Linked DNA regions of Macaca mulatta. The protein of the gene in region 1 interacts with the protein of each later gene in a biochemical or structural test. Links are inferred from orthologs where the notes say so. Each region holds a gene or a part of one and is shown in the gene's direction. Other genes may lie near its edges.

Region 1 (4,047 bases):
TGGGACTCCACCATCTGGGGGGCTTCTTCTCCCACCAGAAGAGTGTATTCTAATGCCCTGATGCCATGGGCCAGGTATAGCCAGGCTGGAGAAAAGCCGCCACCATGGTTGCACTTTCGCTGAAGATCAGCATTGGGAATGTGGTGAAGACGATGCAGTTTGAGCCGTCTACCATGGTGTACGACGCCTGCCGCATCATTCGTGAGCGGATCCCAGAGGCCCCGGCTGGTCCTCGTGAGTCTGACTCCCCAGGTGGCTGGAGTGGGAGTCTTCAGTCCCTTCTTGTTCCCAGGCTCTCGGCCTTGAGAGTTGACCCCTTTGTCCCCTAAGACTACTCACCCCTCAGGTCTGTGTTCCCTCCTTCTTTAGGCCTAAGTTCATGGGAGAAATAGGGGCAACATGGTACAAGCTGTTCAGCCGCATTGGAGTCTTCATAAGCCTAAGGTGATCCATCCTCTCTTTTAGCCAGCGACTTTGGGCTCTTTCTGTCAGATGATGACCCCAAAAAGGGTATATGGCTGGAGGCTGGGAAAGCTTTGGACTACTACATGCTCCGAAATGGGGTAAGTATCCCTTCATCAAGGACCACCACATCCCCTTCCATCAGCTTCTCCCTGTTCCACCTCCTGTTTTCAGCACCCACATCTGTTGTCTCTTAGCCCTCCCCATGCTTTCTTCCTATTAACAGACAGTCATAATTCCCTGCTTTTGAATGAACCACCATAGTTTTCCTTTCAGTGCTCCACTCTCTCCCCTCAGGCTGTGTAAAGAGGAAATAATATCCTTAGCTCAGAGTAGGCCCCTGTCTCTTCTTCCTACCCTAACAGGACACTATGGAGTACAGGAAGAAACAGAGACCCCTGAAGATCCGTATGCTGGATGGAACTGTGAAGACGATCATGGTGGATGACTCTAAGACTGTCACTGACATGCTCATGACCATCTGTGCCCGCATTGGTAAGGGGCCCCAGTACAGTTGAAGGCCTGGGCCAGAAGGCCTCAGCTCTCTCAAAAGGCATTGATGTAGTACCTGGGAAGCTAACAAGCCATCTCCTTCCCCAGGCATCACCAACCATGATGAATATTCATTGGTTCGAGAGCTGATGGAAGAGAAAAAGGAGGAAGTGACAGGGACCTTAAGAAAAGACAAGACATTGCTGCGAGATGAAAAGAAGATGGAGAAATTAAAGCAGAAATTACACACAGATGACGAGTGTAAGCAGAACCAGAAAAAAGAGGGCTTTTGAAATGGGAAGGGTGGGAAGGGGCTTTAGCCTTCTGTGCTTCTGCCAGGCACTGTTTTACACCCTGGGGATACGTCAGTAAGAAAACAAAGTCCTACATTCACAGAACTTACATTTAAGTAAGGAGAGGTAGGAAGTGGAGAAGTAAACAGAGACCAGACAACACAGGGGCCATGGGGGTTTGGCACTGAGGGGACTGTCTGTATCCCAGTGAACTGGCTGGACCATGGCCGGACACTGAGGGAGCAGGGTGTAGAGGAGCATGAGACGCTGCTGCTGCGGAGGAAGTTCTTTTACTCAGACCAGAATGTGGATTCCCGGGACCCCGTACAGCTGAACCTCCTGTATGTGCAGGTATGCAGAGGACTTGGCTGGGGTGGGGCAGGAATAAGGAGGGGTCGGAAGCACAGTGTGTGTGTCCCTGCACCCACACACAACATTTGCCTCCTTGCCCTGTGCTCTCCAGGCACGAGATGACATCCTGAATGGCTCCCACCCTGTCTCCTTTGACAAGGCCTGTGAGTTTGCTGGCTTCCAATGCCAGATCCAGTTTGGGCCCCACAATGAGCAGAAACACAAGGCTGGCTTCCTCGAGTGAGTGACCCACATCCTACACCCTGTCAGGGCCCAGCACTCCCTGCCATTGTGACCCCAGTGGGCCTGTCTCCATTCCAAGCCTGCTCCCCCTGTTTCTTCTTCCGAGGTACCAGGGTTTGACTGACATAGGTACCCTTTTAGTTGCCATCATCCACTGTCTCTTCTCTACCTCTGGAATATGAATGTAGTTCAGTATCTCTGCCCCTACCCCCATCTCTGAAGCAAGCATGTCACTTTTTTTTGAGATTGTCTGAAGAATTTTGCTGCAGTAGCCAGAGGGAAACAGGGTAAAATTTTCCCTATAGGGAACGTGGGTTAAAAGTCTCACAAGCCTCATCTGCTGGTGTTTCTTGGAATGCAGAGTTTGGCGTGGCTTTCTCAGCTTCCTAAGTGCATGGTCATCCTTCTGGAAAGCTCTTTCTCGTCTTGGTTCCCTAAAATGGTGCTCTAGACCCACTTTCCCTCAGGGACTGAGCCTCTAACTTAATTTTCCTCAGTCCCTTTCCCTACAGGGAGAGACACAGGTTACGTTAAGAATTCATACTGGCCAGGCGCAGTGGCTCGTGCCTGTAATCCCAGCACTTTGGGAGACCGAGGCGGGCAGATCACCTGAGGTCGGGAGTTTGAGACCAGCCTGATCAACATGGAGAAACCCCATCTCTACTAAAAATACAAAATTAGCTGTGCGTGGTGGTGCATGACTGTAATCCCAGCTACTCAGGAGGCTGAGGCAGGAGATTCACTTGAACCTGGGAGGCAGAGGTTTTGGTGAGATGAGATCCTACTATTGCTCTCTAGCCTGGGCAACAAGAGCGAAACTCCATCTCAAAAAAAAAAAAGAAGAGTTTACACTAAGTCACCTCTATTTCAGAAGATAATCTAGACTCTATTCCCTAAGAGTCTGTTTTCTCCCCAAAGATAACACTGTCGTAGGTATTTCCTCATACCCCCAGGCCCACAGTTCATGGCCCACATGTCCCCTGATGCTGTCTACCACATGCTGACCCTCCCTTTTCTGGTGTAGCCTGAAGGACTTCCTGCCCAAGGAGTATGTGAAGCAGAAGGGAGAGCGTAAGATCTTCCAGGTGAATGTGGGTAGGGGAAAGTATTTGGGATGACCGCGGAGCTTTGCTGCTTAATCTTACTGACTAAATGGCCCCCCGCCTCCTCCCTGTCTCCCCTAACTCAGCTTTCACCCACCAGACTGTTATCCCACCTCACCTCTGCCAAGAAAGAAGATAACCTGGGCTTTTAGTCTCAGCTCCATCCCTGCTTTTGCTGTGCAATTCAGTTCAATATTCTTGTATTCTTTTATTTCTCTCTAATTTGGGATAACAGTATTTGCCCTGTGTAGGACTGATAGGAGGATCAAATGAGGTAGCATAATCTGAAATTACTGTGGAAGAGTACAGTCTTTGTCCATGTATAAGATGTTACCCCCTACTCTGAATACTCAGCCCAAAAGGCCTTCTCTTTGCCCTTCTGCTTCCGAACTCTGTTCATATCTCCAGAATGTCTACAAGTTCCTTGACTGTATCCCTCGACTCATTGCTTCTGCATAGCCCTTATCAGTCTCCATCCCGTTGCGGTCTCATTCTCATATCTTGCACTCCTCAACCTTTCCAGTCTCCCCATAATTCTCTCTTGTTGTAATTAGCATCCAACCTTAATTCCTTAGCTGTGATATTAAACTATTTGCTAAATTCTTCCCCGTTTTATGCTCAGGCACACAAGAATTGTGGGCAGATGAGTGAGATTGAGGCCAAGGTCCGCTACGTGAAGCTAGCCCGTTCTCTCAAGACTTACGGTGTCTCCTTCTTCCTGGTGAAGGTAGGTTATAGACCCTTTTCACTGCCCTCCTTGTTTCCCACTCTTGCCCTTTTCTGTCTCTGAAAGTCTCTGACCTTGCCCTCAGTCACATTTCCCACCATTCCCTAAGATTCCTCATTCTCTTCCTTGCTCTGACCTCATGAAAAACTGCCTGTCGTCAGCCCTCCACCACCATTTCCCTCCCTACTCTGCATTTTCCCTTGTCTATTAGCCCTCCGGGCCACCTCAACATCCCCTATGGCTGCAAGCTGATCTGATCATTCACCTCTCATTTGACCTCTGACCTGTAACACCAGCACCAACCTCTGCCTCATAGGAAAAAATGAAAGGGAAGAACAAGCTAGTGCCCAGGCTTCTGGGCATCACCAAGGAGTGT
Region 2 (4,047 bases), on another chromosome or scaffold:
GTGAAAACAGCTGGATATAAAAAGATCAGTTACAATGGTAGCTGATATTTACTGAGCACTTACTCTGTGCCAGGCATTGTTCTGAGTTTTTAAGATATATTTAATTTAATTATTCCTCATAACAAGTTTCTTTTAAAGTCAGTGCTATTACTATCTTCATTTTAAAGATGGAGAAACAGGAAACAGACATTCAGAAAGGTTAAGTAATTTTCCAAAGATCATGTATCAAAGTTAAGCGATAAGTCAGGATTCAAACCCAGGGAGTCTGGCTCTAGCGTCCACAGGAGCACAGACACACCAACAAATCACACTGCCTTCCTCTAGGAGAGAGAAGGGAGAGTGGTGGGGATTCTGGTAAACTAGAAAATATGCATTCCAAGTAAAAGGAGCAGCTCCTCCTCAGCTGTAGCTAGCTGCTGCCCTGCAGGAATATAGGTGTCAGTGTTTCTAAATCTTTGGATTTCCTTCCTTCCCTCCCTCCCTCCCTCCCTCCCTCCCTCCCTCCCTCCCTCCCTCCCTTCCTTCCTTCCTTCCTTCCTTCCTTCCTTCCTTCCTTCCTTCCTTCCTTCCTCCCTCCTTCCTTCTCTTTCTCTCTTTCTCTCTTTCTTTCTTTTGAAATAGGCTCTCCCTCTGTCATCCAGGCTGGAGAGTGGTGGCATGATAATGGCTCACTATGGCCTTGACCTCCCAGGCTCAAATGATCCTCCCACCTTAGCCTCCTGAGTAGCTGGGACTACAGGCATATGCCACGATGCCTGGCTAATTAAAAAAACAATTTTGTAGAGGCAGGGCCTCACTATGTTGCCCAGGCTGATCTTGAACTTCTGGACTCAAGCTATCCTCCTGCCTTGGCCTCCCAAGTGCTGGCATTATAGGCATGAGCCACTGTGCCTGGCCTGGATTTTCTTTTTAAAGAGACTAATATGAAATTTTCGGGGGAGAATCTCCTGATTATTCAATACTGCCAATAAAATCAATTTTTAATTTTTAATTTAATTTAATTTTATTTTTTGAGATGGAATTTTGCTCTGTTATCCAGGCTGGAGTGCAATGGTGTGATCTCGGTTCACTGTAACCTCCACCTCCCAGGTTCAAGTGATTCTTGTGCTTCACCATGCCAGGCTAATTTTTGTAGTTTTCATAGAGACGGGGTTTCACCATGTTGGCCAGGCTGGTCCCAAACTCCTGACCTCAGATGCTCTGCCCTCCTTGGCCTCCCAAAGTACTAGGATTACAGGTGTGAGCCACCACACCCAGCTTTTTATTTTTAAATTTTTTTAAAAAACTTTAATTTTAGCTTTAGGGGTACATGTGTGGGTTTGTTCTGTAGATAAATTGTGAGTCATGGGGGTCTGGTGTACCTATTATTTCATCACCCAGGTAATAAGCATAGTGACTCATAGATAGTTTTTTGATTCCCACCCTCCTCCCTGCCTCCACCCTCTAGTAGATCCCAGTGTCTGTTGTTCTCTTCTTTGTGTTTAATTTTTAAAATAAACACTTGGGTGAACCCCCACACAAAGGTGTGGCTGGGTTCTGTCTAGGGGTTACCAGGTCTAGACTTCTGATTTGAGTCACTCAGCACAGATTATTGCTGTCCTAATGATTGTCTCTGTAAAAAAATTAATTTTTGAAAACTGTCCTATTTCCTTCAAGGACCTTAATTACTTTGTCAAGAACACCTTATTCATAGCCAGTTCAAGTGATTCTTGCTTCATTCACAACCACCTGCTCTGTGCTTCTTCCTCACAGAGTGTCCCAAGGGCCCTGACATCCTGGTGGTCCTGCTGTCAGTGATGGGGGCCATTCTGCTCATCGGCCTTGCCACTCTGCTCATCTGGAAGCTCCTCATCACCATCCACGACCGAAAAGAGTTTGCTAAATTTGAGGAAGAACGCGCCAGAGCAAAATGGGACACAGTAAGAGATTGGGCTGGGCTTTTTCTAAAAAGTCATTGGTCTGAGGCCCTTATGTGGAAGCAACAGATGCTTTGGGTGGTCAGGTTCAGCCAGCACGATTGTCTTTCTGTTATCCTCTGTTCTGGAAACGGGGAGAGATGGTCTCACTGTCCCTTTGTCCTTCAGCTTCCTTTAGCCTCTTAGAAATAGTGGCAGGATGTCATTCCACCTCATTCTATTCTTTCTCCTCAATAAAATGGTTACTTCCAGGCTGGGCCTGGTGGCTCGTGCCTGGTGGCTCGTGCCTGTAATCCCAGCACTTTGGGAGGCCATAGTGGGCAGATCACTTGAGCTCAGGAGTTCGAGACCAGCCTGGGCAACATGGTGAAACCCCGTCTCTATTAATAATATAAAAATTAGCCGGATGTGGTGCTATTAATAATATAAAAATTAGCCGGATGTGGTGGTGCACACCTGTAATCCCAGCTATTCGGGAGGCTGAAGCAGGAGAATTGCTTGAACCATTAGGTGGAGGTCGTAGTGAGTGGAGATCGCACCCTTCTCTGGGTTACAGAGCAGGACTCTGTCTCAAAAAAAAATAAAATAAAATAAAATAAAAGGTTACTTCCAAATCAGACTTTACTCTTTTATCCTGATTTATTGTATTTTTAGTAGAGACAGGGTTTCACCATGTTGGCCAGGCTGGTCTCGAACTCCTGACCTCATGATCACTTGCCTCAGCCTCCCAAAGTGCTAGGATTCCAGGCGTGAGCCACCGCGCCTGGCCAAGAATGTGTTTCTTGAAACCACCATTAAGGACTACTAGACCGTATAGGATTTGTTACTTTCTGTTGGAAAATAGTTTGGGAAACCTAGTGAGGGTTTTTTTCCTGATAACATGACAGTTTGTGGATAGTGCTTTCTCTTTCTCTCCTCTTCCCTCCCCTCCTCTCTCCTCCCCTTCCTTTTTCCTTTGCTTCCCTCCCCTTCCCTTCCTCCCCTCCCCTCCTTTTCTTTCCCTTCCCTTCCCTCCTTCCTTCTTTTTTTGAGACAGGGTCTCATTCTGTCATCCATGCTGGAATGCAATGGTGCCATCATGGCTCAGTACAGCTTCAATCTCCTGGGCTCAAGTGATCCCCCCACCTTACCCTCCTGAGTAGCCAGGACTATAGGCACACATCACCACAGCCAGCTAACTTTTGTATTTTTTTCCCTTGTAGAGACAGGGTCTCACTCTGTTACCCAGGCTGGTCTCGAACTCCTGGGCTCAAGTGATCTTCCTACTTTGGCCCCTAAAAGTGCTGGGATTATAGGCATAAACCACCATGCCTGGCCATGGTTAGTGCTTGGCCAGATGAGATGAAAACAAATTAATAATTATTTGAGCAAAAGCTTTCCTCTGTGTTCTGAATTCCACCTGCTACATTTCTGTCCTTGTCCACATCTCCCATCGCTGTCACAGGGAATGGAAAATAGGAGAAGTGCAAAAGAGAGGGGGACACGGGGTGAAATAGGAGAAGTTCTATTCCTGAATGCTGTGGGATCACTGAAGAGTGATAGGCTGAATTTAGCTCCTTAGAAATAGTGTCAGGGAATGAGTGTGGTGGCTCACGCCTATAATTCCAGCACTTTGGAAGGCTGAGGCAGGTGGATCGCTTGAGCTCAGGAGTTTGAGACCAGCCTGGGCAACATGACAAAACCCCATCTCTACAAAAAAATGTAAAAAGTAGCCAGACATGGTGGTGTGTGCTTGTAGTCCCAGCTACTTGGGAGGCTGAGGTAGGAGGATATCTTAAGTCAGGGGAGGTGGAAGTTTCAGTAAGCCGAGATTGTGCCACTGCACTCCAGCCTGGGCAACAAAATGAGACCCTGTCTAAAACAATAATAATAATAAGAAGAAGAAATGGTGGCAGGATGGCATTCTATCTCATCTCCTCCTGTTATTTCCTATCGATTCCCATGCCAAGAACTAAAGTGGGAGTAAAATGAACATTATTCTGTTTCATCTATGGTGTATTCCAGAGAAGGGTACCTTGGGAAAACTTCTGAGATGAATTTTAAACATTCAGGGTAGGGAAGGACTGAGGAAGTCACTGTAAGATGCTCTTCTGTTTCCTTCACAGGCCAACAACCCACTGTATAAAGAGGC

What was found. The genes of interacting proteins can lie anywhere in the genome.
Region 2: the proteins of TLN1 (region 1) and ITGB3 form a complex in vitro, tested with the Homo sapiens proteins (6 studies listed by BioGRID and IntAct, with this or other methods). The link is inferred for Macaca mulatta from reciprocal best matches to the Homo sapiens genes TLN1 and ITGB3.

The regions. Positions count from the first base shown.
Region 1 is NC_133420.1:63,971,299-63,975,345, forward strand, and holds part of TLN1 (talin-1), read left to right. Parts: intron 1-74; 5' UTR 75-104; coding exon 105-234; intron 235-465; coding exon 466-563; intron 564-827; coding exon 828-957; intron 958-1,062; coding exon 1,063-1,215; intron 1,216-1,455; coding exon 1,456-1,598; intron 1,599-1,710; coding exon 1,711-1,838; intron 1,839-2,865; coding exon 2,866-2,926; intron 2,927-3,566; coding exon 3,567-3,671; intron 3,672-3,987; coding exon 3,988-4,047. UniProt on the Homo sapiens protein: High molecular weight cytoskeletal protein concentrated at regions of cell-matrix and cell-cell contacts. Involved in connections of major cytoskeletal structures to the plasma membrane.
Region 2 is NC_133421.1:71,587,400-71,591,446, forward strand, and holds part of ITGB3 (integrin beta-3), read left to right. Parts: intron 1-1,752; coding exon 1,753-1,919; intron 1,920-4,021; coding exon 4,022-4,047. UniProt on the Homo sapiens protein: Integrin alpha-V/beta-3 (ITGAV:ITGB3) is a receptor for cytotactin, fibronectin, laminin, matrix metalloproteinase-2, osteopontin, osteomodulin, prothrombin, thrombospondin, vitronectin and von Willebrand factor.